7 linked regions of the Ovis aries genome follow. The protein of the gene in region 1 purifies or fractionates together with the protein of each later gene. This does not show direct contact. Links are inferred from orthologs where the notes say so. Each region holds a gene or a part of one and is shown in the gene's direction. Other genes may lie near its edges. The genes, in order: FKBP5, USP49, CDK9, protein argonaute-1, CHUK, PHLPP1 and MCMBP.

Region 1 (3,500 bases):
TTATTGGTCTTAAAATAGCAGAGTTGAGAGTAAAAAAAGTTCTGTATGGACCACACTAAAACCAGCCACAGTCTTTGAGGACCATCAGTGACTGTGAAGCAGCCTGTCAGCAGCAGACTTGACATTTCCTCTAATGATTCTAGACTGTTTTCACTTTGGAACCGTGTGTGGGCATGTATATTGATACAGCCCTTTTGGAAGGGCAGTTGGGCAATATCTATCAAATAGAAAGTGCACATCACCTCTGCACTTCTAGGAATTTGCTCTCCAAATATACTTGCACATAAAAGGCAAACATAAGGGACAAAAATCCTTATTAGAGTACTGTTGATGATAATGTTTCTCAAGAGTAGAGTGACTGGAATATTCTGAAGCCACTGAGCATGAAGTAGGTCAGTATGTATTGATGATGATGATGACGACTGTTCCTTATTCAGTGTATATTATATGCCAGGCACTTGAATTCTTATAACAACTATATGGCAAGTACTGTTATTATCTACATTTTGCAGACAAGGAAACTTGGACAAGGTCACACAACTAATATGCGACAGACCTGGTATTCTAATTTACGCAGTCTGGAGTTAACGCAGGCTATACTGCTGACCCCTAAAATTCATATCCTCCTGTCAGCTGATGAATAAAGATATAAGTGTGTGTATATAAGCATGTATACATACATATATAAATTATAAACATGTCTATATATATTTATAGCATTTTATGTCATATATTTATATATATTAAAATATATGTATATAAGAATCTATGTAATGAAAAAGCAGTTCCGACCTGAATGTATAGTATGCTGTCCTTTTGTTTTAAATTTTTTAAAAAGCAACAGCACACACTGGAAAGATACAAAAAAGAGATAACAACAGTGGCTTCTTATAAGGAGGGAATGAATGACTTTTCACTCATATCTTTCTCTCTTAGGTGTTTGTAAAAATAGGCATGTATACCTTACATACACTTTAAAATAAGTATATCTGATATTTTGAAAAGTTGTAATGCTTAAGACTAAGCTGAAGTCATGAGTCACAAATGCTTTGTCCCTCTGTACTTACATACCTTAGTGTAGAGTTCCTCTTATTCTAATCATTCTTACTGTAGTCCTACCATCAGCTCTCAGTTCAAGATAACAGCTGTTTTCAAAATTTTGCTTTTTCTGGTGTTCATTGCTCACCTGGTCTCACTTTGAATACTCAAGTCTTTGACAGAGCACCTCAAATTTGTATATCATCCCTTGAAGTTTTGTACATTTTCTGTTGTTTTCCAAAGGATTTGGAACTGCTTATTGTAAGATCCAATTATGTAGGTTAAGTTTCTTCCCCAGTGGTCCAGTGGTTAAGACTTCACCTTCCAGTGCCGGGGGGGTGTGGGTTTGATCCCTGATCGGGAGCTAAAATACCACATGCCTGTGGCCAAAAAAGCCAGAACAATAAAACAGAAGCAGTAGTGTAACAAATTCAATAAAGACTTTAGAAATGGTCCATATCCAAAAAAAAAAAAAAAAAATACAGTTTTACAGTAAACTTTTAGTTTCCTGGAAGTAAGCAAAAAAAATTTCTGAGTTCTGTAGTTCTTGTGATTTGGCAGAAGAAGACACACATCATTCTGGTTTTTTAGAAAAACAAAAACCACTTCTTTTTTTTACTCTAAACTTTGAGGAGAAATCTGTTTCATGCGCCGTTTTATGCAATTTATACTTTTCCGACTGCTTCTTGTTTGTTGTTTTTGTCTACCCAACTAAATTATATGCTTTCTTAGGACAAATTCCATTTTCTATACTATTTTTGTTCCATCTCTGCCTAGAAAACACGCACTTATTCTTATGGTTAAAATTATAAATTAACCAACAACTGCAGCCCCGCCACATTTCAGAGATCATGTTACTGCTACTTTTCAAAGACTTAGTCTTTGAGCAGTGTAGAATCTGATACCACTTTCATGCTTCTCAGCAGAGAATCTTCTCTGTTAGCTCTCAGGAAAAAAAAAATCACAATTTGTTTCTTAGTGTGTAACTTTTACTGAGTTTTTTTGTAGCCCCTGTTTCCTAGCTGAGTAGTATATCGTTTAAGGAATGGGAAATGTGTTTGAATTTTTGTTTTGTGAAAGTCTTAAAATACAGCCTATAGCTTTCAACCACTTTTTCCTTTCTCCTAGGCCAAGTTATCAAGGCATGGGACATTGGGGTGGCTACCATGAAGAAAGGGGAGATCTGTCATTTACTGTGCAAACCAGAATATGCATATGGCTCAGCTGGCAGTCTCCCCAAAATTCCCTCGAATGCAACTCTCTTTTTTGAGGCAAGTATGTGTGTGATGTTGCCTTGTTAGCATCTGCTCTACTACAGTGCTGGCTCCACAGCGACAGGCAGTGCAACGAGGAGCTAAGCTTGCTATTGAGAATCGGATCCAACTTATTTATTTTGGAGCTTGGCTTCTTGAATTGTTTCCCACAAACCCAAGGGGTGTGTGCCAGTGCTTTCTTAGAAACGTGTCTCTGGCACAAAACGGTCATATCCAAATAAACAAAAGAAACCAGGCTTAGAAATAAAGGTTCTGATCAGTGGTCTGAGTTGTGACATATTCAGACTCGACCAGAGGACAGGATGGGAAATGTGGGAGATAAATGTTGAAATACACCTAAACCAAGTTGTAAAGCTATTTTTATGACAGAGGTTTATAACTGTCCTAGATCTCACTTCCTCATTAGAAGCAGTAGGTGGTGATAAAATGTTACTCATCCTGTGTTGAGTCACACATATTTGGCCACACTTAATTAAAAAATTAAGAGGGAAAATGCCTGAAACATTGTAAACAGGTAAAATACGCCTTTAGTTGGTTGTAGGCCTGATTCATAGGGTTTAGTCTTACATTTTAAGAAGGGAATTCCCATGAATTTGGGGTGAAAAAGTGGTGGCTTCTAGAGTTAAACAAAGTAGTTTTGGGCCAGAACTGTGTCACTCTGGCGTTTTGCCCACAAGGCAGTTTTCCTAGTATTTCCTGTCTGTCTTTGCAGTGTAGCCCCACAGGATGTGGTCCTAGACATTATCATTAAGTGAAGGTTCTTTCCAGGTATTGAAAAGTGCAGTGTTCTTTTTTCCCTACTTTTCCAATAACTGAGAAGCATAGATAAATATAAAACAGAGTTTTGTTTTGTAAAATGAAAGGAGAATAGTTGCCCTAGCATTTAAGTATGTTAAATTGACATTGTTTGGGCCATTCTCAGCCATATCCCTTTTTCCTTTCTAGATTGAGCTCCTTGATTTCAAAGGAGAGGATTTATTTGAAGATGGAGGTATTATTCGAAGAATCAAACGGAAAGGAGAAGGGTATTCAAACCCAAATGAGGGAGCGACAGTAGAGAGTAAGTACTGCTGTGAGAGGTCCCAGTTATATGGACAAAATGGAGCTTTCCTTTTTAAAATCTTTAAAAGAGTAAATGTACTGAATATTTATCTAGAATAGTTTTAAATTCAACATTTCTTTAATAAT
Region 2 (4,229 bases), about 6.0 Mb from region 1:
AGTTAAAATGTAAGATACGAATTCCTTAAAATTATGTTAAAGGTGTTAGCAAAGGGAGTGCTAAATTTTAGGTCTTAACTTGTGGGCTTCCCAGGTGACTAGGTGCAGGAGATGGAGGCTTGATCCCTGGGTGAAGAAGATCCCCTGGAGGAGGAAATGGCAACCCATTCCAGTATTCTTGCCTGAAAAATCCCACGGAGGGCTACAGTCCATGGGGTGGCCAAGGGTCACACACTGAACAGGAACACTGAGCTCTTGAACCACACGGCAAATCCTCATCAAATCGATTAATCAATCACTAGGATTTATCGCTTCATCAGACGTTTTTAAAGTGTTTAAGTTAGTTACCTTTGGAAGTTTCACAGAGCTGACTCCAGGCTGTAGATTCATGCTTACACATGCACATGCCCTGCCCCCTTCTTATTTTGTTTGTTGTTCTTTGGCTTCTGTTAATTCTGTTTCATATTTACAAGTGTGTAGCTTTGAGCCAGTGTAGGTAGTAAAGAATGTGTTTCTTTTCCTTGCGCTTGTATTTAAAGGTAAGCCTTTACCTGTTTCAGCCTTGCAGTTGGGTGATGTAACAGTGTTGGTCTTATTTGGAGGAACTCCCCCCCCAACTATGTCAGGACAATGCACCCAAGAGGCTCCTCGGGAAGGAAACTTTTTCTTACGTTGAGAAGATTTGTAAATAGCCGCAGTTCTGTTTCCCTGGGGTCTCCATCCCCACCTTCTGCTGAACTTCTTCAGTTTACAGCAGCAGCGAACCACTTCCTTAGGGGAATTTCCATAAAAAGGCGGAATCCCGACTTTGTCATCAGTGGCAAAAGTGAGACACTTGCTCTATCGCCTGGGAACCAATAGTGTAGCTTCTTCAAAAGCTGACTCAGGATCTTTTGGACACCGTGAAAACTGATAGTCTTATTTTTAACAGAACAAAACAAAAACCTAGACGGTATAATGAGGAACGCTTTCCCGCTTGGCAGTGGAAAGAGATGTTAAAGACGGTCCATCCCAAAGGAGTGCAGCGAACTACCGTAAGATTCCTTTACAGTTCCGCAGGCTGAAGGGCTGCGGGGAAGGGGGCGGAGATGGGCTCTTGTGAGTCTCTGGTCCTTTAAGGAGGAGGGACGGCCGTAAGACTCTGTACCTTTAAGAGTCTCTTTGTCTGGAAACCTCCTTATTTACCCTCCTGTGCTTCAACCAAACTTCGACCCGCGATTCACAACGCCCCTTTACGCCACCGCCCCTTACGCCAGGCTCAAGTCGGCCGCGCGTCGGTGGCTAACCCTAAACTTGGCGGCCGCCGCGCGAACCCCCGGAGAGGATGTCTGTGCCGGGTCGGGGCCCTAGGCTGCGCCGTTGGCGCAATGCGGGGCGCGGGGGGCGGGGCTCCGGCGGGCGGGCCAATGGGCGGAAAGGGGGCGGGGCCGCGTTCGGTTGTCTCGCGCCCTGGTGACAGCTCGCGCGTGCTGATGATGGCGGTAAATAGAGGGGGGTCGGGGGAGGGGGCGGAGGAGGTGGGGCGGCCGCAAAGGGGGTAGCTCCAGAGAGTGGGGGGACGGGAACCGGGGAGGACGTGACGGCCAGGGATCCCATTCGGAGACTCGGAGGCGGGGACAGGAGTCTCCGGCACACTGGCCCTCCCCTTTAAAGAAGCAAAATCCTCACACACCGGGTGAGGGGCGACAAAGGCGGCGCGCGGCTAGCGGGCGGGAGGAGTGGCGGCAGGGGGCGGGACCGCGGCGCCGGCGGGCTGGGGGCGCCCGGGGCGGGGGCCCGCGGGAGGCGAGAGCCGGCTGTCCTGGCGCGCCGGCCCTTTATTTTGGCGGGGTGGGCGACCGCTGGGTTTGGGGTAAAAGCCTGGAGGGGAGAAGGGAAGGCAGGCTTGGGGGCGTTTCGGGGGAACGGATCTGAGAATGAGATGAAGAGGATTAAGGGGAGAAAGGGGTAGGAGGCAGGGAGAGAAGGAGTGAGGAAAAGCCAGCCAAGGAGGTGGGAAGGAGGCAAAGCCCAGGCTGGGTGATAAGGAATCCGGGCCGGGAATGAGGTTAGGAGGACCGAGCCCGGGAAGAGGGCTCCCCCGGTTAGGTGTGAGAGCAGGGTTCTGGAGGGGAAAGCTTGGTAAGGGATGGTAGTGGGGCGAGGGTTACAGGGGTAGGAGTTGGAAGTGGAAGGCAAGGAGGGGCAGAGCTGGGGGAGTAGTTGGGAGTAGAGAGAGAGTGATTAAGAGCCAGACGTGACAAGGGTGTGAACTAGTGCAGGGCGAGATGAGCTGAACGACTAGGACCGGCGATGGGTGGAAACTGCGAGGTTCTGAGAAAGGTATGGGTTAGTGGATGGGCAGTGGGTGTGAATTCTTGAAAGTGAGGAAGAGGGGAATTAAACACTGGACTAGTAACCAGGTGGAGTTAGGAATAAGTGCGGCCGATTTGGAAGGGTGAAAAGCAATGGACAGGAGAGATGGGGCGTTTGTAGGACAATTCGGGGGCCAGAAAAGCTCAAAGAAGAGAGTGAGGGTGTGAGAAGTGATGGCGGTCTGGGACAGGGTAACTGGGGAATTGTGTTAATCGCCGAGGTTCAGCAAGATCCAAGGTCCAGACTGAGGTAAAGAGACAAGGCTGAAAGCATAGGATGAGGGGAGCAAGGAAGAGATGGACCCCAGGATTTAAAGGATGAGATGGGGAGTGAGGGAAAAGAACAGAGTTAAGGGAAGCTTGGGGAAGCCTGATGGATTTCAACCTGGGGGAGACTGCACAGTTGGGGGAGATGCTCCAGAAGGTTCACATGGGTCAGGGCACAGACTCTCTAGCGAAGGATCAAGAGTAGGGAGCCTTTGGTGCAGAAGAGGAGGAACCATGGTGAGTGAAAAGAGACCTAGAGATAGGGGCAAAAACTAAAAAGTAACAGTGGAGGTGGGGGGTGCAGGAAAGGAATTCTTTGTTGAGAAGAGAACTGTTAGTGTATTGAAAGTGTGAGTCCTTTTGTCCATGAAAGTAGGAAATTCCAGAAACCTCTTTCTCTCTTCAAGGAATCTTGAATCTGCTTCCACCTTTCATGGTTTTTTAAATCGACTTTTCATGTCCACTTTGAAAAGATGAGACCCATTTTGATTTTGTTCTTGTATGAACGATAAAGTGTCAACTGGGTGCTGAGAAGCTCTGCCTTTTACTGGTGGTGTGATCATAGGAAACTGGGTTGTATTTCCAGTGTGGTTGTGCCTGTATGGTGTGACAGTGTTGTGCTGTAGCAGTGTGGTACCTGACAAGCGCTAGGCAGTGCTTTCTCGACAGCATTTTTATTTTCAGTGGCGAGCACCCTGTTATTGAGATAGATAAAGATGAAAATCTTTTCGTTTTGTTTAATCAACCAAATTTCTGCCTACTTGTTTTTGATGGCTGGAGAACATTGAAATCATTTCAGAGAAAGGCAAATAGCCAACCAGGGAAGTTTGCAGGGGAAGAGATTTAAATCAGCGTGCTGAGGGTTTAGCTGCCTTTAGCTTTGTGTGTGACTTTTTGTACTGTAGTAGAGAACTCACCCATTTGACAAAAATGGAATAAAGAAAGGGAGATTTAGAATAGTAGAGGCTTTTACAGTGGGACTTATCTTTCAGTTAAATAATGGGTTTATGAGTAATTTTATCATAACCTGTAAGGTAATGCATGCTGGAGCCTTGGACAGCTCCACTGCCTCTCCTGTTTTGTAGGTGTGAATAAAAAAATTAATATTTTTCTAGAATAAGTTTTTTATATTTAAGACACTTTGGGGAATTTAAAGGAAGATAAATTTGGGACAAAATTTAGGTTATTCTTAACCAAGTATTTTGTTTTGATGATTTTTAATCCTGAAGCTTTTACATTTAGCTAAAAATATGAACGATTATTACTTTGCATTTGATGATACCAAAGGACAGCATATAATTTACTTAGGAAAAAACCACAAACTGTTTTTGAGACTCTTATATGAGGTTATTTCATTGGTGTACCTTCAGATACACAAAGATGCTTTTTCTTTAAAGTTGTGTAAATTTTGGATTGCCACTGTTTTCTGGATATTTGTATAAATAGCAAAGATCACCTTTATGGGATCTGTGATAGTTAGCAAAGATTAGATCTTGATTAGTGGACATCAGAAACATTGGTCATTAATATAGGTGAGTAATTTAGAATATTAAATTAAATTTCTGGGTTCAGCTGCTATGTTCATGGATTCCAGATTCTGTGGAGCAG
Region 3 (4,038 bases), on another chromosome or scaffold:
CTTGAGCAAATGACCTCACCTCTCCGAGCCTCAATGTGCTCTTCTGTAAAATTGGTTAGTGATCCTGACTATGGGCGGTGGATTCAGGATTCAGTAGGAATGCCCAGCACTTCCAGAGCACACAAGAGGGGCCGACGAAATGCCGGCTACCTTTGTGACTACTAACCCGGGGCGCGACCAGTTAGGGAGCAGCTCGGCAGGAACCAAAGTCCTGTGGGTCTCATCTCTTGTCTCCCAGAGAACTGGGTGGGGATCCAGGAGTGGAAGGCCCAGGCGTTGCTGGCTCACCACCTTCAATGTCGCCGCGCCCCCTGGCGGCTATCGGTTGCCATATCAACGGCGGGTCGGCGGGGGCCCGGGGAGGCGGCGGTCGGGGCCCGTTCTCCCTTCCCCGGACCCGAGGCCGCTCTCTCGGCACCTCTAGTCCTCGCCTGCGTAGAGTGGGGTGTGAGAGCGGGTGGGGAAATCCCGAGCCGGGGAGGAAGGGACTCCCCGCTGCGGCTGGCATGTGCGGGTAAACTGAGGCACGCGGTAAGTCGCGCCCCGAAGCCAGGTGTTGAGCGCGGGGCCCCACCTCCGAAGGCGGAGGAGGGGCCGCGGGCGGTGACGCGCCGAGGGCGGCGGGCGGGCGGGAGGCAGGCGGCGGCGGCGGCAGGTGCGGCCGCTGAGGGTGGAAGGGAGGAGGGAGGGGGCGGGCGGAGGGGGAGGGGAGGGCGAGGCCTGGGCACCTCCCCCTTTATAACGCGCCCCCTCCCGGGCTCTCGGGCCGCCTCCTCATCGGCTGTTTCCGTCTGGCCCCCTCGCCCGGCCGCCCCGGGCCCGGGCCCGGCCAGGGAGCCCCCAGGCCGCGGCTCGGGGGGCCGCCCCCCCACCCCCCCTGCGCCCGGCGCCCAGCGCAGCCCGGCGGAGGCGGCGCCGTCGGAGGAGGAGGAGGAGCAGGGCACTGCGGCTGGCCCCGGATCGGGCGCCAGAGCGGCAGCGGCTTCGGCAGCGGCGGCGGCGGCGGCCCGAGCCGATGCAGCGGGACGCACCACCTCGAGCCCCAGCCCCGGCGCCCCGGCTCCCCGCGCCCCCGATCGGGGCCACCGCCGGCGCCGGCGGCGGCGGAGGCGGGGGCAGCGGCGGTGGCGGAGGCGCCTCTGCAGCTTCGGCTCCTCCTGGCCTCCCGGGAACTACAAGTCCCAGGGGGCCTGGCGGCGGGCGGCGGGCGGAAGAGGCGGGGTCGGCGCCTCGAGGCCGGAAGTGGCCGTGGAGGCGGAAGTGGCGCGGCCGCGGAGGGGCCTGGAGCACGGCGGCGGGACCCGGAGCGGGAGCGGCGGCGGCAGCAGCGGCGGCGGCGGTGGTGGCTGGAGGCGGCGGCGGCGGCGCACTGGAGTCAGCCATGGCAAAGCAGTACGACTCGGTGGAGTGCCCTTTTTGTGATGAGGTGACCAAATATGAGAAGCTCGCTAAAATCGGCCAAGGCACCTTCGGGTAAGGCTGGGCCCCCCCTCAACCCCCAGGGACCGGGAGCCTCCTGAACCTGCACCCCTCCGGGCCGACGTCGGGACGCCCAGACCCGGGCCCGGTTGGTCGGGAAGCCACTTAGACGCAAACTTATCCCCTGGTCTCGCTAGGCCGCACCGCAACCCCGCCGGGGCCTGAAGGAGTCGGCCGGCTGGGAGGAGCCTGAGGCCCTTAATGGGGGGGCAGGGAGGGGTTGCAGAGAGGAGCCTGTGAGTGGTGCGGGATCTCTCTGCGAGACGCCCGAGTGAGGCGCAAGGAGCAGAGGGAAGAAGGCTGAGACTCGAGAAGGGACCAGAGTCACCGCGTGGTGGGGTAGCCGAGTGCCGTGAGGGACCCGGCCCAGCCCCGCCCGGGATTCCCTTTCCGGGCCTCCTCTGGTGGGGGAGGGGCGGGCTCTGCGGAAACGTCCTCTAAGAGCCCTCTTGGGTCTCCCCTCTCCGCCTGCAGGGAGGTGTTTAAGGCAAAGCACCGCAAGACCGGCCAAAAGGTGGCCCTGAAGAAGGTACTGATGGAGAACGAGAAAGAGGGGGTGAGTATGGGGTGGGGTGGGCAGGTCTCCCAGCTCCTTTGGGCGTGAGGTTGCGTTTCCACCTTTCTGGTTTGGGGACTCTCAACGTAATAGATTCAGATTAGGTGTTTGGAAATTTCCATATTCCAGGAAGTTTGACTTCCCAGTTCAGTCTTTGAATTCAGATGTCTTAGAGCTTTTGATACTTCATTCTTGGGTGAATATGGTTGGTGCCAGGCGGGGGAGCCCATGCTTGTACCCAGTGCCCCTAGGTTTTTGAAGTTAGGAAGTCGTTAAAGACTTTTTCTTTAGGGTTTAATTTTGTTGAACGCAAAAAAGATATATATATGATAATGATAATTACATGCAATGGCTTTGAAAAGGTGATTGGTATTCAGCTGAAAAGCAACAGTCTCTCCTGCCACACACGTGTGTTAGTTCTGGTTCAGCTTTCCAGAGACCAGCTTCTTTAATTATATATTTGTTAACTGCCAAGCAGGTTAAATGCAGGCATAGGGCTAAAATTTATAAGGGTGAAGAAACTGCGGAGCGTCTGATGACTGGTAACAGAACCTTTGTGTGAAGTGTCACTGTTTCGGATCATTCATTGAATTATTTTGATTCATTCATTCAGTTCTTTATGAGGCGTACATAGTTACTCCCGTTTTACATATGTGACATCTGAGACAGCTAATTCCAGAGCCTGTGCATTTACTGTCTCCCAGCCTATGACCCTTCGCGTGGACCCCATGGTCAGTTCCTGGGTCTGTAGTGTGCTCACCCACTTTTGACTTCCTCCTGTCTTTTCTCCCACCCAGTTCCCCATTACAGCATTGCGGGAGATCAAGATCCTCCAGCTTCTAAAACACGAGAATGTGGTCAACTTGATTGAGATCTGTCGAACCAAAGGTAAGTTGTTTGGATCATGTTCCCATTTTCAGATGGAAAAACTGAGGCTTTGTTTGCGGAGTTGACACTGGACACATTTACACTGCCTCTTCTTAACCCAGACATTCCAACTGTGACTGCTTTCTCTGGTCTTTTCATCGGAGCAGGTGCTTCCCCAGGGCCTGCCACAGCACCCAGCCCAGAGAAGGCACTCAGAAAATGTTTTACCTGTGAAGGAATTTGTACCCGGATATTCGGGGTGGCCATGGGTTGGAGGGGTTGGGAGCTAGTTTGGAGGAAATGAGTTACATGTAAGGTTTCTGATTTTTTTTTTAATGCCTCCCCCTCTCTCCTCCTCATTCTTCCTGCCTCAGCTTCCCCCTATAACCGCTGCAAAGGCAGTATATACCTGGTGTTTGACTTCTGCGAGCATGATCTTGCTGGGCTACTGAGCAACGTCTTAGTCAAGTTCACACTATCTGAGATCAAGAGGGTCATGCAGATGTTGCTTAACGGCCTCTACTACATCCACAGGAACAAGGTGGGGGCCCTAGTTGGGGAGGAGAGAGCAGGGCTTGGGCTGGCCTTTGCGCTCACAGCGGGGTGGGCATGGCTAAGGGATCCCTGGGAACCCTCCGCCTTGTGCTTCCTGCAGATCCTGCACCGGGACATGAAGGCGGCTAACGTGCTCATCACCCGCGATGGGGTTCTGAAGCTGGCGGACTTTGGGTTGGCCCGGGCCTTCAGCCTGGCCAAGAACAGCCAGCCCAACCGCTACACCAACCGTGTGGTGACCCTCTGGTACCGGCCCCCAGAGCTGTTGCTCGGTGAGGACTCTCCCGAGCTGGCAGAGGGGAGCAGGGGCTGGGCACTCAGCTCAGTCTCAGCACCCCAACTGCCAGGGCTTCTTGAGCCATCGGCCCCAGGGGCGTGGCCTTTCAGGAGGCCATGGGGCTCAGGGGGCCCTCCCTGGTGTGCTCTTGTTCCCAGGGGAGCGGGACTACGGCCCCCCCATTGATCTGTGGGGTGCTGGGTGCATCATGGCGGAGATGTGGACCCGCAGCCCCATCATGCAGGGCAACACGGAGCAGCACCAGCTCGCCCTCATCAGCCAGCTCTGCGGCTCCATCACCCCC
Region 4 (3,500 bases), on another chromosome or scaffold:
CTCAGACTAAAAGCTGGGGGCAGGGTGGGGTTGGGGGAACTTTGTACTGCCGTAAGACTTGCAGGAGGATGGGGTGGGAGAGAGGTTCTCTCTTCCTCCTGCCTTCCCTAGTTTGGGTATGAAGGGGAGCGTGGGGGCCTCCCTGTTTTCCCAGAGCCTCCTAGGAATGGAGGGTGCCTAAGGCTAAGCCTGGTGTGTAGTCCTATTTCTGAGGAAGAGAAGACTCTGAGGCTAGAGTGTCTGTCCCATCCCCCATCATTTCTACCCAGCCCCTAGCTCTAGGGGATGTCTTTCTCCCAAGACTCCAAGCAATTATGCAGCCTGGGAGGCTAAGGAGGTGAATGGAATGTAAGAACGTGGGGAGGGGAAGGGTATCTCTTACCAGCTACTTCCTCTAGGGTCTTGTTTGAGCTGGATTTATAATTGTTTCTGAGCAGTTTGCAGGTGTGTGTGCGTGTGTGTGTGCTTGTGCTTGTGTGTTCTTTGTGGGATGTCTACAGTTCTGTTTGTTAATTCGTTTCTTCTCTGTGTGTTGAACACCTCCTCTATGCCCGACACTGGAGATTCAGCAGTGACCAAGGCAGATACAGTCTTTGTATCTTTGAAGAACTCACAATCTAGGTTGGTGAGGGCTATGTATACGAAGGTAAACTGTCCTGTTCTAAGTATGTGTTTGGATGTGTATGTCTGACTATGGCTTGTATATAATTTCTGTCCAGCTCTTTCTACAGTAGGTGGCCAGGTGCTAGTAGTTAAGCTTTTACTCCCCCAGGTAGCCGAGTTCTGAAGGCCTTTTCTCCTCAGGCTGGGCCTCCATTTCCCTGTTTCCCTGTAGGGTAGGCTTGACAGGTGGTTAGAAGGAGACATAGCAGTTAGCTCTGGGAAGCATGCCCCTCCCTTGAAGGGTTCTGACCTCTTCCTGACCCCCCCAGCTGAGGATATGCCCCTTCCCCCCAGCCTGGCCAACTGTGAAAGCAGATCTCTGATAATGGGAGGTTCTCGGCTGTTTTATCCCTCTCTCCTCCCAACTGGGTTGGTCCTCTATTGGCCAGGACAATAGTTGATGTGGACAAAGGGTTCTCTTAGGCAGTTTTCCTTTTGTCTTCCCTTTCCCCTCAAGCTAGAAAATAAAACCAAGGGCAGCAATCAGGCTGCTGGCATTAGAGGAGAACGTAGTGGGAGTTGGCCCAGCCCTAGCCCTTTCTCAGGGGCCTCCAGTGTCTTAAAATTGATCCCTACTGCAACTGTTGGGGCCCTCTGTGTGGAAGGAGATGTGGGCCTGGAGAGAATTTTGTATTCTTCCCAGAGCCAGTAATCTCATCTTCTCCAGCATGATAATTGCTGCCCCTCCTTCCTAAATCCTCTACTCTAGCCTGCTCTTGCCTTAGTCACCTATGTTTAGCCTACCTTCATTCCCTAGATTTTTCTTCTTTTGAAATTGTGCTTCATTCTCTCCCCACTTGCAGGAAGTACCTGCCTAGGCTGTCAGCTCTAACCTATCTTGCCCCAGCCCCTATTCCAGCCTTTCCTCCTTCCCAATTCAAGCATTTTTCTGCTGTGACCTCCAGTTCTAGCGCCTTTAGCAGCTCCCTGTTTCAGCCTCCTTTCCTTGGTCTCCAGAATCTGTCCTGTTAACCTTTTCTCCTTTTCCAACCTCAGCCATTCTGTTGCCTTAATCTTTTCCCAGACATTGGCCTTCTTCCTTGCTTGTTGCCCTGGCACTTGGCCTTCTTTAGGTCTTCCTCCTGCCTGCAGTTGGAGGAGCTTTAAGGTGTGTTCAGGAGCTTTTTTGTGTGTTCAGGATGGTGATGAGTGAAGTGAGCATCTAGCTGACAGATAATAAGGTCTGCTGGATACCTGGTGGAGGCAGATGTCTCAATCTAGTAGAGGAAAGAAAGAGCCAAATTTAGTCCCTTTATTTAACCTGTAATAGGAAGTTATTATGTACTCACTTGATGAATTTAAGATAGATAACAAGGGTAATTTTCCTAACTGGAAAAAAAAAAAAAATGGCCTGGGTTTCAACCAGTGGAAGTCCTCATTTAGGTTGGGTAGACAGGAAAGAGGCTTCCCCTACACTCTGCTGTTCTCATTCTAGGAGGCCTTGTGCTGTCTCTGATCAGAGTGGTAAGGAGATTACCAGACTGTACCCTCACCAGGCTCTCTGTCTTGCAGCTGCAGGTGCCTACCTGCCCCCCCTGCAGCAGGTGTTCCAGGCACCTCGCCGGCCTGGCATTGGCACTGTGGGGAAACCAATCAAGCTCCTGGCCAATTACTTTGAAGTGGACATCCCTAAGATTGACGTCTATCACTACGAAGTGGATATCAAGCCAGATAAGTGTCCTCGCAGAGTCAACCGGTAAGTGATGCACAGAAGCCATTAAGTCAGGTAGTCCTTATTTTCCTAAGTCTCATAGCCTTCAAAGAATCCAGAGAGGTAAAAGAAAAACTCATTGAAGGTGATATCACCAAATTCAAGAACATTTTCAAGGAAGAGATTCTAACTTAAGGTAAATGTTGAAATAGATCACTGGATTTGGCTCTATGGAGACTATTGATAACCTTTTGCTACAGCTGTTCCAGTGGAGGAGTTGGGCTAGTAATCTAAGAGTAAGTTAAGGAATAGGGGCTTCCCTGGTGGCTCAGTTGGTAAGAGTGAGTTAAGAAATAAGTGGAAGGTGATGTGGTAGGGATAGTGAGAGCAGATAGCTTTTTGCTAGATAAGTTGATAGTGAAGCATGGGAGAGAAGGAATGTGTTGGCTTGAGAAGATTCTAGGGCTCAAGCCTGCTGCATTTCATTATTTGTGGAAATGAATAAATGAAAATTTTTTAAGAATGAGATGTGGATATGTTTATAAACCAAGAAGGAGCTAGTGTAGGAGAAGTTAAAGGTACAGGACAGGGAGGAAAGGAATGAGTGGGATGTTCTGGCTAAGGCAGGAAGACACACAGGATACACAGTTTGAGGAATTAGCCTTAGAAGAAGTAATAGTTCTTCTCAAAATTAATTTATTTTGTTATTATTTGAAAACTATTCATGCACAATATAAAAAAAAGTTTTTAATATTACAGAAAGAGTAACAGTGAAAAATGTCTCCTATTACCCTGACCTCCAGTCCCCTAGTCCCTTTCCCTAGATGCATTCATTATTACCCTTCATATACTTCCAGATATTTTTCTATACATATACAAGCATATTTGTATACAAACATTTTAAAACACACGGAATATAGAATCTTATACATCTTTCTCTGCACCTTGCTTTTTCCACTGAGCAACATATTTTGGAAAGTGATACATATCAGTACCTACAGGTTCCTCATTCTTTATTATAAGATATTTAATAATAAATCTATTCAGGAGCATTTAGGTCAAATCTAAACTTTTGCTATAAAATGAAACTGTGTAGAATATTAATAGAGATATTTTTGCTCTCAAGTATGAATGTATCTGTAGGATAAAGTCCTAGGACTAGAATTGCTGGCATAGTACATTTACA
Region 5 (3,500 bases), on another chromosome or scaffold:
ATTTCAGGGTTTTTTTTTAAAGTTTCTAAACAACCTACTGTGGAGTCCCATTGTTTTTTATTGTACATAGCCTCCAATGTTTTGGTATTTAATTCTAAGCTTATCTCCCTTCAGATGTACTAAGGAAATGTAAAAAGCAGAGTTAAAATTCAAATAATAAACCAAAAGAGTTGCCTTCAGCATTTCTGTTTGTATACTTATCTTGAGCAAGGTGTGTATATTTCAGAATTAAATGATCAACAGTGTCCAGCTGGGTAAATAAGTTTTCTTACCAAAGCTGGTTCTATGATTGATATTTTATTTCTGTTTGTGTATTATAGGCATTCTGATGAATAGCAAAACATAGTTATTTCATCAGATTTTCTTTGACTTATCTTACTAAGTTGTATATCTTAGACTACTGTTTAAAAAGAGTGAGGTAGACCTCTGTGTGCTGATATTAAAAGATCACTTGATCTTTAAGGCAGCAGTGCTTTAAGCTGGAGGAAAAAGCAAGGAAGGAAAAGTATATAGAGATGATTCTATTTATGGGAGAAAAGGAGATGTGTCGCTGTAAGAAATGATTAACACTGGGATCGCAGAAAGTGGAGAGTGGAGGGGAGGAGACTTCTATATCTCTATATAGTGTTTGATTTTTTAAAAATACCATGTTCATGTATTACTTTAAAATTTTTTTATTTTTTATTAAGAGAAAGTCATCTGTATTAGTTTCCCAGGGTTGCCATAACAAATTGCGATGAACTGGGTGACTTAAAACAATATAAATTTATTATCTCACAGTTTCAGAGGCTTAAAGTCTAAAATCGATGTGTTGTCAGGGCCATGCTCTCTCTGAAACCTATGGAGAAGAATCCTTCCTTAGATTCTTCTGGCATTCCTTGGCTTGCAGCTGTGGCACTTTAGTCTCTGCCTCTGTTGTGAAATGGCGCTTTCCCGTTCATATGTCTGTTGCTGTGTTTCTTCTTCTTTTCTTAAAAGGACACTAGTCATACTAGGTTAAGACTCAACCTTAATTTAGCTAATTGCACCTGATGCTATTTCCAAATAAGGTCAAATTCTGAAGTACAAGGTTAGGGCTTCACCATCTTTTGGGGGAACAATTCAACTCATAACTCTGTTTTTGATGTTAATATGGCAAGGAGATGGGTAGGTCAGTAATTAAACCTATGGCTATTTCTGAGATAACCAATTAAGACTTTTTTTTTTAGCCTCAGAAAAAATGTTAAAAGCTTGGAAAGAAATGGAAGAAAAGGCTATCCACTATGCTGAGGTAAAATCACTGAGCTCATTCTGTGTGCTTATTAACTCCTGAGGTCTCCCTTAGAAATTCTTTGGTTTTGGTTTGTAGAGTATTTCTCATATCATTCCTGAATATCAGACAGATACCTAGTATGTGTATGTAGAGGGAAGTACCACAGTGGATAAAAACAAGAGCTTTGGGTAAATGAGACTAAAATGAAGCCTCACTGAGCCTCAGTTTCCATGTTATATTATGGGGACCTTTTTTAGTGGGGTTATACAGATTTAAGTGGGAGTGACTAATAAATGGTAGTTATCACTGTTATTTTTAAGACTGGTTTTGATAGGATGGCTGGACACATCCTGGTTTACTCGGGACAGTTTTCGTTTACCTCTCTTGCCTTAATTATCAATTAGTTAAGTTAGTTAAGTGAAAAACGCTCAGTCGTGTCCGACTCTTTGTGACTCCTGGACTATACAGTCCATGGAATTCTCCAGGCCAGAATACTGGGGTGGGTAGCCTTTCCCTTCTCCAGGGGATCTTCCCAACCCAGGGATTGAACCCAGGTCTCCCACACTGCAGGAGGATTCTTTACCAGCTGAGCCACAAGGGAAGCCCAAGAATACTGGAGTGGATAACCTATCCCTTCTCCAGGGGATTTTCCCACCAGGAATTGAACCAGGGTCTCCTGCATTGCAGGCAGATTCTTTACCAACTGAGCTATCAGGGAAGCCTTTATTATCAATAATACTCTCAAAATTTTGCTGGTTTGGACAATAAATTTTTTATGGTCACACTATAGGTGGCAGATTCCTTCTTTACCTGGTACATCTGTCTGTGGTCCCGTTAAATTGTTGCTCTCCTTGATGCCAGCACTTCCTGAGGAATGAGTGTGGCAGTTGGTATCCTGGGTTGGGAAATCCAGTGTCTTTATCTTTCTGCATCCTTATTCAAGTTGGGAACAAGAGACACTGAAAATTGTAGAACCAAGATGCAGTGGTATTGATAGTCACTTTTACTTATTAGTGACACTTCTGTCTTTTTCCTTCTCAGGAGGAGAAAGAAAATGCTAGTAGTCTACTGTTGTCAGGAGAGAAGCCTGAAATAAGTTGGTTCTCATATGAAAGTTACATGCCATAATCTGAGAGACAAACAGACTTGAACAAAATCAGTGTTTTACATTAAATCACTTTGTTCTGTTACTGTAAGAAGTTATTCTCTGAGTTCCTCATATTGTGTGGTGGTGAGCCTGTCATTTCTTTTGTGTTTCATCATATTTTAGGTGGGTGTCATTGGATACCTGGAGGATCAAATCATGTCCCTGCACACTGAAATCATGGAGCTACAGAAGAGCCCCTACGGACGACGTCAGGGAGACTTGATGGAATCTCTGTAAGGGTGAAGTCATGTTGTTAGTGTTGGTGTCTGTAATTTTTGGTAGCAGATTATTCTTTCATTGTATTTCTGGAAGATTATATGTGGTTCTTTTCTATAGTTTTCTTTCCACAAATACATTGGCATCATATTTAAAAAGGAAGTTTTTTCCTAATCACAGGAAATTTTGGCAATAACTCTTTGGGTTGATGTTTACTATTTATTTTAAAAAAACTTTTTATTTTATATTGGGGTTATATTATAGTTGATTAACAGTGTTGTGATTAGTTTCAAGTATATAGCAAAGGGACTCACCCATATATATATATATATATATATATATATATATATACACCTATTCTTTTTCAAATTCTTTTCCATGACCTTTGCTTTTTAAACCGAAGCATCTTTTCATGTGAGTGTTACTAATTTTTCAAGTATTTTAAGTTCAAACTATTTCCCTACTTACCACACTTCTGGTTTAAGGAAGGTATCATTTATTAAATTCCCTAAATAAGGTTAACGTCCTAAGTGTTTGGATTAGAAACTTCAGATTTTTTTTTCTTTAATCACAGGACATAATTTTTTTCCCATTTAAGTGTTTCTGGTGCAGAGATACTATATAAGTGATGGTAGATCAGAGCAGATACTTAGTATATTAAACTTTGCATCTTAAGATCTTGCTTATTACCCAGCGAAACACCCTGTAAAATATTCGTTGGCAATATATAATTACTTGAAAATAGGGTCGTTACTCTATTCAAATAATATTGTTCATTTCAAGTTGGAAATAAAAAGTCGTTAAACTATCTTCATGTTTAGAACATGTTTTCTCTTTCATAGGGAACAGCGTGCAATTGATCTATATAAGCAGTTAAAGCACAGA
Region 6 (4,227 bases), on another chromosome or scaffold:
CTACAGGAATTTCAAGAATCAAGATAATATTTTTTGTCCTGTAACTTCTACTTTTCAGTAAAACTGTGTAGATAACCCACGTACACCTTTCTCTGCCCTTATTAGTTTCTATTATTTCAGCCACAAGTTCCAGTTTCTTTCTTTTTTCTTCCCTGTTTCTCTCTCCTTCCTCTTTCCTTAAACTCCCTACCCCCAATTCACCCCCAGGTTAAGTAACTTTATTGATGTTAAGCAGGCCCGGGATTGTTTGCAGCTGCACAAGTCTTATATGTAAAAATCCAGATTTATGAAACAATACGGAGGAATGGTAATTCAATTAAAAAGGTTTACCAAATTCTTTTAAACAGTAACCTCTCTAATCCAGCCTACAATATTGTTTCAATCGACAAGAAAGTACAACTCTACGCCACGACTAACACTGCGGTCGCAGAATGTAATTTTTTCTGAATACTGAAGGAAAAACCAAGGGAAGACGTTAAAAGAGAGCGCAGGGCCCGTTTCTTCTGTCCCACGCCTCCGTTCCAGCGTTACCTCTGCTTCCCATCGCCTTCCGTGTCCTCAGTCCTTTCGGACCTCAAGCTGAGCAGGGAGAGGGCCCGTCCTCGGCCGTTCTCCTCACACAGGACCCGCGGAGGGCCGGGCCGGGGCCGCACGACTGCCTCCGGGCGAGCTCGTAGGTGGTGAGGGGAAGACCGAGCGCCCGGACCTTCGTGCCGCCTGGAGTCTGTTCGAGCCCTGTCTCAACCAGCGGGGAAAACGAAAGCCTCGGGGAGCAGGAATGGGCGGGTAACTACAAGTTCATGAACCGAACGCCGCTGAGCATCGACTCCATCAGAGGGCACCAGACCCACAGTCCGGGGCCCGCGGCGGGCCGCACGGCGGGGCGGTGCTGGAGGATCTCTGGGACTTGTAGTTCGCCACGGTCCCCCTCGGGGACGCCTGACCGCGGCCTGGAACTACAGCTCCCAGGTGGCATCGCGCACCGCCCGTCTCTCGGCCCCTCCCCTCTCGGGCCCGCGCAGGAAGGCCCCGCGCCTGGCGGCGCGGCCCCGCCCCCCGACGCCGTCCCGCTTGTTTACCCCGAGGCTCCGCCCCGCGCGCCCGCCCGCGGGGTCGCCGTCACGCGGGTGATGCATATTCATGAGGCGCGCCGCCCGCCGGCCTCCCGCCCGGCGCTCCCGGCGCGCGATTAATATTCAATGAGGCCGGCTCCGCGGCTGGCTCGACTGCGCGAGGCGAGGGGCGGGCGGGGGGCGGTGGCGGCCGGGCGGGCGCGCGGGATGGAACACCGAGACGCCGACGGAGCGCTCCGAACCGCCACATAATCGCCCGAAACGGCCGCGCGAACGCCACTGGCGGCGCCGCCGCCCCCCGCTCGCTGTGCGACCGCTGCCCCCCGAGCCGGGGCCGCGCCGAGCCCCGCCGCCATGGAGCCCGCGGCCGCGGAGACCCGCGCGGAGGGCCGGGCCGCGGCGGGCGGCCCCGGGCCCGCGCTGACCGCGGCGCCGGGCCGGGCGGGAGGCGCGGCTCGCAGGCGGCGGCGCGGCCCGGCGCCCCTGCCCGCCGCCGGCGGGGCCGCCCCGGGGCCCGGCGCCAGCTCGCTGCTGCTGAGGAGAGGCCGGCTGAAGAGGAACGCGTCCGCCGCCGCCGCCCCGCGCCCCGCCGGCCTCCCCGCCCCCGGCCCGGCCGCGGCGCCGCCGTGCTCGCGGAGCCTGGACCGCCGGGCGCTGCTCCCGCGACCCCGGCAGATGCTGCCGCTGCAGCCGTCGGACCGGGACTGGGTGCGGCACCAGCTCCAGCGCGGCTGCGTGCACGTCCTCGACCGTCACCCGGCCGCCAGCCGCCTGCGCCCGGTGCTCTGCACGCTGGACACCACGGCCGGCGAGGTGGCCTCCCGCCTGCTGCAGGCGGGCCCCAGGGCCGGCGGCGTGCTGAAGGTGCCGGGCCGGGCCCCCGCGGGGCCGCCGCCCGGGAAGGCCGCGCTGCCCGCCGTCGGGGGGCCGCCGCCGCGCCGCGCCTCCCGCGCCGGCCCCGCGCCCGCGGGCTGCAGCCCGGGCTCCCCGCGGGCCCCGGACGGCGCGGGCCGGACCCCCGAGCCCGAGAGCCCCGGGCCGAGCCCGGGCGCCGAGGGCGCGTCGCGCCCGCCGGATCCCTACTGTTCATCGTCGTCCGAGGAGCTCGAGGCTGACCCGGGCCAGCCCCGCCTGCGCGGCCGCTCGTCGGGCTCCCGGCCGCTCTCCCCGGCCGCCTCCCCACCTCCGCCGACGGCCCCGAGGGGCGTCGAGGGCTCGGGCGGCGCCGCCCGCGACCGGCCGGCGGAGGAGAGCCCGGGCGGGGACGCGGCGGCCGCGGAGAAGGCGCCCCCGCCGCCCACCCTGTATGTGCAGCTGCACGGGGAGACCGCGCGGCGCCTGGAGGCGGACGAGAAGCCGCTGCAGATCCAGAACGACTACCTCTTCCAGCTGGGCTTCGGGGCGCTGTGGAGGGTGCAGGAGGAGGGCCTGGACTCGGAGGTTGGCTGCCTCATCCGCTTCTATGCAGGTAAGGCGGTCACCTGCACGCGCGCCCTCGGGGCTCTGTTAGCCCTTCGCCGCTCGCGCGGAAGACCGGTGGGACCCAGCCGAGCGGTTCCCGCCGCGGGTGCGGGGCAGGCGGCGGGGCCGCGGGCGCACATGTTCCTGAGAGGGGCCCTGCAGTGACAGTGCCGCCTTCGGGCTGCGGGGCTTGGGGCTTCAGGGCAACTTCACGTGCCGTGAAACTAGCGGAGGGAAAGGACCGCGGGAAACCCGGAGCACCCGGCCTGCGTCCGGCCTTGCGCGGCCGGCGGCGCCCGCCCGGAGCTCAGTCCGGGTCGGCCGGTGCCCTGCTCCTGCTCCCCGTCCTGTCCTTTGCCCACTTAGTCCTCGGTGGAACCCGGCAGCCACGATCCTCTTTAGTGATGCTTTTCTTCAGCGCTTCTTGGCTTTGTTTCAGTCTCCTCTGCAAGTGTACTTCTTGCATCAGAAGTGGTTTTGCCTATTTCTTTCTCTCAGTTTCTCCCCTCTAACCTTTATAGTCAGAACTGACTATGTGACTTCCAATAGGGATACATAGCGGTCACAGTAGTACTTTTGATTGCCGCCTCTCACTGAGTGCGATCTAAAATCCTCCGCATCCTTATTTTCATTTCTAGATTAAAGATCTTAAATCTTTTCATTGGGATAGAATTGATACATTAGATCAAGTTCTTGACCACGGGGGACTAGTGTTTCTCTTTTAGCTGGTGCTAAATTATGGCTGTATATTTGAGCTTAATAAGTTCTTTATGTCCTTTTCCTCTGCTGGTTTGAAGAATTATGTTTTAGTGGTAAGGAATTTTATTTAAAACAAGGTTAGTGTAATAGTTAAATCGGGAGTTACATCTTCCCCCAATTCACTAAAGTAGTAGACTACTTCTGCACTGAGGCTGCAGGTGGTGGTGGAGAGAGTCCCGCTTGTAATCGCGTCATCTGCAGCCATTCCCTCCAGCTTCATGCTCTTGGTCCACACCTGGGTTCTAGCAGCAGTTTAGTCGCTGTGAATGAGGAGCTCTTCACCCTCCATTGAGATATGCAAGACTGGTAGCATTCCTGGTGAGATGTTCCTTTATGTTTAATTGAGGTTTTTCTATAATTCAGGTGGGTTTCTGATGGATTTTGGCCTCATAAAGAAAACCATATCGTAATACAATAGCTTTTGCAGTACCTGAAGATAATGCCCCAACCTGATGACAAGTCTTTAAAAAGATTATGGCCTAGAAAATAGGTGACTTTTTTTTTTTAATGTAGGAGCAACAACTAAATTCTTCTCCTCTCTTGTGGCTCGTGTAATTTATAAAATACTGTTATTTTATGAAAGCGTTAAATGGTAATCATGCTTGGAGTGAATGTTTTGTTAACATGAGAATGGTAAATGCCTGTGTGTGTGTGTGTGTGTGTGTGTGTAAAGAAGCAAGGGCTGTGTTGAGCATATTTTGAACATATTGCACATATTTTGCATGGAAAGAGCTCTGCATGCCTCATTTTCCTCGTGGTTGACTTGCTGACCATGATGAATGTCCGTGGGGTTTTAGGTGTCCTAGTCGTGGCATTTAAACCTTTGATTCCCCTTGATTGTCTCTTCAGGTGTGTCCAAAATGTTCTGAGTGGATGATATGTAGGTGTTTTGTTTGTTTGTTTTTTAAACTTATCCTGGTGTAAAGTTAACAGA
Region 7 (4,185 bases), on another chromosome or scaffold:
CCTTGGCCTTTTAAGTTTTCATAACCACTCATTAGTAGTGTCAAAACATCTTGGGTGAAATTATTCACATTATTTCAGTAGGATCACAGTGTCTCTTAAAGTTAAATCTGAACAATTGTCTACAAATCACTGACTACAGAGGGAGAAACCAAAAGCTGAAGTGTTCTTAGCCACTGCTGAATTGGTGTCCAGCTGCAATTTCATATACAGCAAATTGAAATTATTATAATTTAAAAGATTGTATGTCACAAAGCTAAATAGGAGATTTCTCTATTCAATACCAGGAATCTCGAGCCCTTCTAAGCTAAATGAATGAATGAAAGTAGTAATGCCAACGATTTGAAACCGTTTTCTCAGCTCACCCAAACTCACAAGAGCCAGATGTATAGTATAATATGCCAATCACAGTCATCCCTTGGTATCAATTGCAGGGAATTGGTTCCAGGAACAGATATCTGAATGCCAGAGTTTCTTATGTAAAATGGTACGAAATAGTACAGACGACTCTGCGTGATCAGGTCTCCATAGCTTCAGTTTCCACATCCGGGTATTCAACCAGCCTTGCCCACCAGATTCAGAGGAATGTAATTAGTTCACAGTGACAGATACAAAATAAACCCTTTTGCCCTAAGGAGGGCTTGAGATCCGAGTTCAGTTCTCCAGCTCCTCACTTTTTAGGGAGTGGAGATGATCGCATTCGGATCATCCTTCTGTTAATACGCTGTACTTCAGGTTATGAGAGGGAGGGTTTTTTCCGATATATTTCAGATCTAGGGGCTGTTTCATTATAGAACTTGGATATTTTCCAAATTTCCTCATTCAAAGGTTACTATTAACCAGATCTTTTCTGTGTACAGATACCACTGTCTTGATCCAGTCGAGGGAAGACTTGATCCAGTGGAGGAAAGTCATTACAGGGGGTTTCTAGCACGGAACCAAACAAAAGAGTTGCCATTGGCCAAAAAAAAAAAAAAAAAAAAACCACTAAGAGGCGGGACGAGGTGGGCAGACACCAGAGGCAACGTTACCTTCTAATTTTGCCCAGAGATAACTTTGAGGTCTCTTTGCGCTTGTGCTCTTGGACTGTTGCGGTCTCCGACCTGCGCAAGGCCTCGCCACTATAAACAGATAAACCAGACATCGGGAGTTTCTCCTTTGGAGTCTGCAGAGGGACACCGAGCAATATGCAGCCCTCAAGTAACCACGCGGCATGCTCGCGAGGCCACCCCTGCCCTTCCCCTCGCCCGTCTCCAAGATGGCGACCGCCCTGCCGCCGCGGCCCCGCCCCGCCGAGCCCCACCCCCTCTCCCCGGAGCAAGGCCGCCCCGCCTCCCCGCCGCGGGGCCGCGCTGCGCGCTCCCGCCGCCCCTCCCCGCACGAGCTCCACCCAGGTCGCCGGCAGCGCGGTCGGCGGCGGCGGCGCCTATTTCCCGCCATTGTGCGAAGTGGAGGCTGGGGGCCCGCACGCGCCGCCTGCCCGTGGCCGGCAGCGCCTCACAGCCGCCGCCTCCGCCGCCGTTCCCTGAGGCGCGGGGAGGCCAGGCGGCCCGCGCCGCGAGGCTTTCCCTGCGTGGGAGGGCGCGGGCGAGGAGCGGCCGAGCCCCCGACGAGGAGCAGAGGCGCGCGGGACGCCCGGGCCGCGCCGGCTCCGGCCAGTCGGCGAGATGCCCTGTGGGGAGGATTGGCTCAGCCACCCGCTGGGCATCGTGCAGGGCTTCTTCGGTGAGTGGCGGCGCCCGGGGGGCGGGCGGGGTCCGGGCGGGCCGCCGAGTTCACCGAGCCCCCGGGGCCCGGACCCTGCCGCGCGGCGCCCAGGCGGGGCCGCCTCGAGGGCTCGAGCGGCCGAGACGGTCAGCCGGGCCTGCGCCGCCGGCGCTCGGCAACCCCCTCCCGCCCGGAGAGTCCGGGCCGCGGCTGCCCGGGCCCGGGCCGCAGGTGCCTCCCACCTGCCCGATTCGCGACTCCCGAGCCACCAAGGTTACGGCGCCAGGAGCCGGCTGCCGGCCGTGATTGACGGCCTCGCTTCCCCCTTCGTGGCCCCGCGGGCGGACCCTGAGCCCCGCGTGCGGCCGGACTCTGGGGTTGGGGGGTCCTCGAACCTTTCGGGAGGACCCGCAGAGATGTGCTGAAGGGAAAAGCACTTTGCCTATGGGAAGCCCGCAGGACATTTCAAAACTTCCGGTGTGTGGGGGGAGTGCTCGCGTGCTTGCTCGCTCGCTGCAGAAGTTGGCTGTAACTCCTGGGTTACACACATCCTCCTTTTTCGAGATAAGATTTCGTGTGATAACTTAGATTTTTTTCCGTTAGGACACCTTTAAAACATGTCTCGTCTCCCCATCTCCTCTTGGGCCAGAGCTAGCAAGAAATGGTGAACGAACTCAGATGCGTTCCTGCATAGAAAGAGCTTAGCATGTGGCAGGCAAGCTCAGGAAATTTCACTTGCAGTCATGGTTAATGACACTTTTCGGGTAGGGTACACAAAGAAAAATTTAGGTCTGGTTGCCGTTCACTAGGCATTTTGGCCCCACCCCGCATGTCTTTTGCACTCAGGAGTGGTGGAGGCAAACCCAACCGGGAATCAGTGTGTAAGATCAGAACACCTGACTTGTCAGGAGGTAACTTGAACTTGGAAAGTGGCCTTCCTCACTTAAGACCTTGTGGAATATTAGCGTGAACGCTTATTAAGAAGCTAAATAGTCCGCAGCAGCCAAAACGGATGGCAGAAAATGTATTTCTTGCAGGAAAGGCTCACTGAGCAACTCTATTCGTTTTCCTTGTGATTTGAACTTGTTCAGTTGTCTGGTTTCCCAGGCTGAAACTAGAGGCAGCATATTAGGAAAAGCCCTGGGTAGGCATCCAAATTGTAGCCAGTGAACACTGACAACCTATTAAAGGAGAAATTTCAAACTATGTACATAGTGTTTAAAAAAATTTTTTTTAATCCCTGTATATCCATCCAGGGCCCTTTTCAAAAAGGGGCATATGTCTCTCTACTAAATCCTGGTAATTGATGCTCATAATGAATACTAGAACCCATAATTGTTTTCCAAAATAATGGCCTTTAAATGTGGAGTGAAGATTAAATTGCACAGTAGGTTTAAGAGGGTGCAGACACAGAGACACTTTTTAGGGAAAATCATTCAAAAGTAAGTAAGTTTTGGTGCTTAATTGATGTTTAGAAAATTTAAGAGAAATATCCATGTCCTAGTCTGGCTGGATAAATGAGATGATTTTATATTTAGTATATATTTGAATGTATTTGTGTCAGATTTTGTCTCCTGCTTGTAGGACCCTAAGAGGCAAACAACTCATTATAGTATAGTAGGTGTAATTTGGATATAAAATGCTGGCTCTACAGTATTTTCTGAAGTTTGTGTTTTGTTGATGACCTGGACCTTGTTGATGTGTTTTTCCTCTAGAATGTCTTATTCTCATACAGATTGTGTCTTGCAGAGAAGAAACTAATCCTGTCTTACAGTCATGATGTTTTTGTAGAAGCTGCTTTGATATATAATGTATATTCTTGCTATATTTTCCTATCACTGTGAATATATGGGATTGGATAGCTTTATAACAACAACATTACAGGTATGTTTGTGTGAGAAGTGAGGTGTTAAACTTGTAGACTCTTTTTGGTCTAATAGGAAATTGTTGTAAATCCATTTTCGCCCAGAGAGAAAAGTATACTCATCTTTTGTGGTTTATGAGGCCTTTTGGCCCCACCCCTGCCCAGCTCTGGTGTCTCAGTGGTAAAGAATTCACCTGTGATGCAGGCGACCCTGGAGATGAAGGTTTGATCCTTGGGTCAGGAAGATCCCTTGGAGAAGGAAATGGCAACCCCACTCCAGTGTTCTTCCTGGCGAAATCCCATGGACTGAGAAGGCTGGCAGTCTGCAGTCCATAGGGTCACAAAGAGTCAGACACAACTGGGCAGGCACATTGCCCAGCTCTCAGACCTCATCACGGTATTCCCCCTCACACTGAACCTTCTTCCAGTTCTCTGATCTTAAACCACGCCACTAGGCTTTCTGCATAGGCTGTTTCCTTTGCCTGGTCAAGACTTCCTCTCCCACTTCTGTTTTCCTGGCTAAATCTTACTCTTCTTTGGGAACCTGAGTTGGGTAACTTCTGCTGCATGTAATTATAGGATCCTGTGAAGCCTGAAAATTAACTTGTAAAGCATGT

Evidence for each region.
Region 2: the proteins of FKBP5 (region 1) and USP49 purify together in Homo sapiens (affinity purification with western blotting; 4 studies listed by BioGRID and IntAct, with this or other methods). This does not show direct contact. The link is inferred for Ovis aries from reciprocal best matches to the Homo sapiens genes FKBP5 and USP49.
Region 3: the proteins of FKBP5 (region 1) and CDK9 purify together in Homo sapiens (affinity purification with mass spectrometry; 10 studies listed by BioGRID and IntAct, counting the BioPlex papers as one, with this or other methods). This does not show direct contact. The link is inferred for Ovis aries from reciprocal best matches to the Homo sapiens genes FKBP5 and CDK9.
Region 4: the proteins of FKBP5 (region 1) and protein argonaute-1 purify together in Homo sapiens (affinity purification with mass spectrometry; 6 studies listed by BioGRID and IntAct, with this or other methods). This does not show direct contact. The link is inferred for Ovis aries from reciprocal best matches to the Homo sapiens genes FKBP5 and AGO1.
Region 5: the proteins of FKBP5 (region 1) and CHUK purify together in Homo sapiens (co-immunoprecipitation; 4 studies listed by BioGRID and IntAct, with this or other methods). This does not show direct contact. The link is inferred for Ovis aries from reciprocal best matches to the Homo sapiens genes FKBP5 and CHUK.
Region 6: the proteins of FKBP5 (region 1) and PHLPP1 purify together in Homo sapiens (affinity purification with mass spectrometry; 4 studies listed by BioGRID and IntAct, with this or other methods). This does not show direct contact. The link is inferred for Ovis aries from reciprocal best matches to the Homo sapiens genes FKBP5 and PHLPP1.
Region 7: the proteins of FKBP5 (region 1) and MCMBP purify together in Homo sapiens (affinity purification with mass spectrometry; 3 studies listed by BioGRID and IntAct, with this or other methods). This does not show direct contact. The link is inferred for Ovis aries from reciprocal best matches to the Homo sapiens genes FKBP5 and MCMBP.

Annotation. Positions count from the first base shown.
Region 1 is NC_056073.1:9,745,277-9,748,776, reverse strand, and holds part of FKBP5 (peptidyl-prolyl cis-trans isomerase FKBP5), read left to right. Parts: intron 1-2,166; coding exon 2,167-2,309; intron 2,310-3,257; coding exon 3,258-3,372; intron 3,373-3,500. UniProt on the Homo sapiens protein: Immunophilin protein with PPIase and co-chaperone activities. Component of unligated steroid receptors heterocomplexes through interaction with heat-shock protein 90 (HSP90).
Region 2 is NC_056073.1:15,702,061-15,706,289, reverse strand, and holds the start of USP49 (ubiquitin carboxyl-terminal hydrolase 49), read left to right. Parts: upstream 1-1,429; 5' UTR 1,430-1,675; intron 1,676-1,765; exon of another isoform or gene 1,766-2,858; intron 2,859-4,229. UniProt on the Homo sapiens protein: Deubiquitinase that plays a role in several cellular processes including transcriptional regulation, cell cycle progression or innate immunity.
Region 3 is NC_056056.1:8,430,806-8,434,843, reverse strand, and holds the start of CDK9 (cyclin-dependent kinase 9), read left to right. Parts: upstream 1-1,238; 5' UTR 1,239-1,381; coding exon 1,382-1,473; intron 1,474-1,953; coding exon 1,954-2,035; intron 2,036-2,832; coding exon 2,833-2,923; intron 2,924-3,276; coding exon 3,277-3,443; intron 3,444-3,557; coding exon 3,558-3,729; intron 3,730-3,892; coding exon 3,893-4,038. UniProt on the Homo sapiens protein: Protein kinase involved in the regulation of transcription.
Region 4 is NC_056054.1:10,826,130-10,829,629, forward strand, and holds part of protein argonaute-1, read left to right. Parts: intron 1-2,175; coding exon 2,176-2,359; intron 2,360-3,500.
Region 5 is NC_056075.1:20,893,291-20,896,790, reverse strand, and holds part of CHUK (inhibitor of nuclear factor kappa-B kinase subunit alpha), read left to right. Parts: intron 1-1,208; coding exon 1,209-1,270; intron 1,271-2,522; coding exon 2,523-2,632; intron 2,633-3,457; coding exon 3,458-3,500.
Region 6 is NC_056076.1:61,361,164-61,365,390, forward strand, and holds the start of PHLPP1 (PH domain leucine-rich repeat-containing protein phosphatase 1), read left to right. Parts: upstream 1-1,427; coding exon 1,428-2,541; intron 2,542-4,227. UniProt on the Homo sapiens protein: Protein phosphatase involved in regulation of Akt and PKC signaling.
Region 7 is NC_056075.1:39,499,846-39,504,030, reverse strand, and holds the start of MCMBP (mini-chromosome maintenance complex-binding protein), read left to right. Parts: upstream 1-1,385; 5' UTR 1,386-1,664; coding exon 1,665-1,722; intron 1,723-4,185. Other genes in the region: SEC23IP (SEC23-interacting protein), read right to left, coding at 1,029-1,212. UniProt on the Homo sapiens protein: Associated component of the MCM complex that acts as a regulator of DNA replication.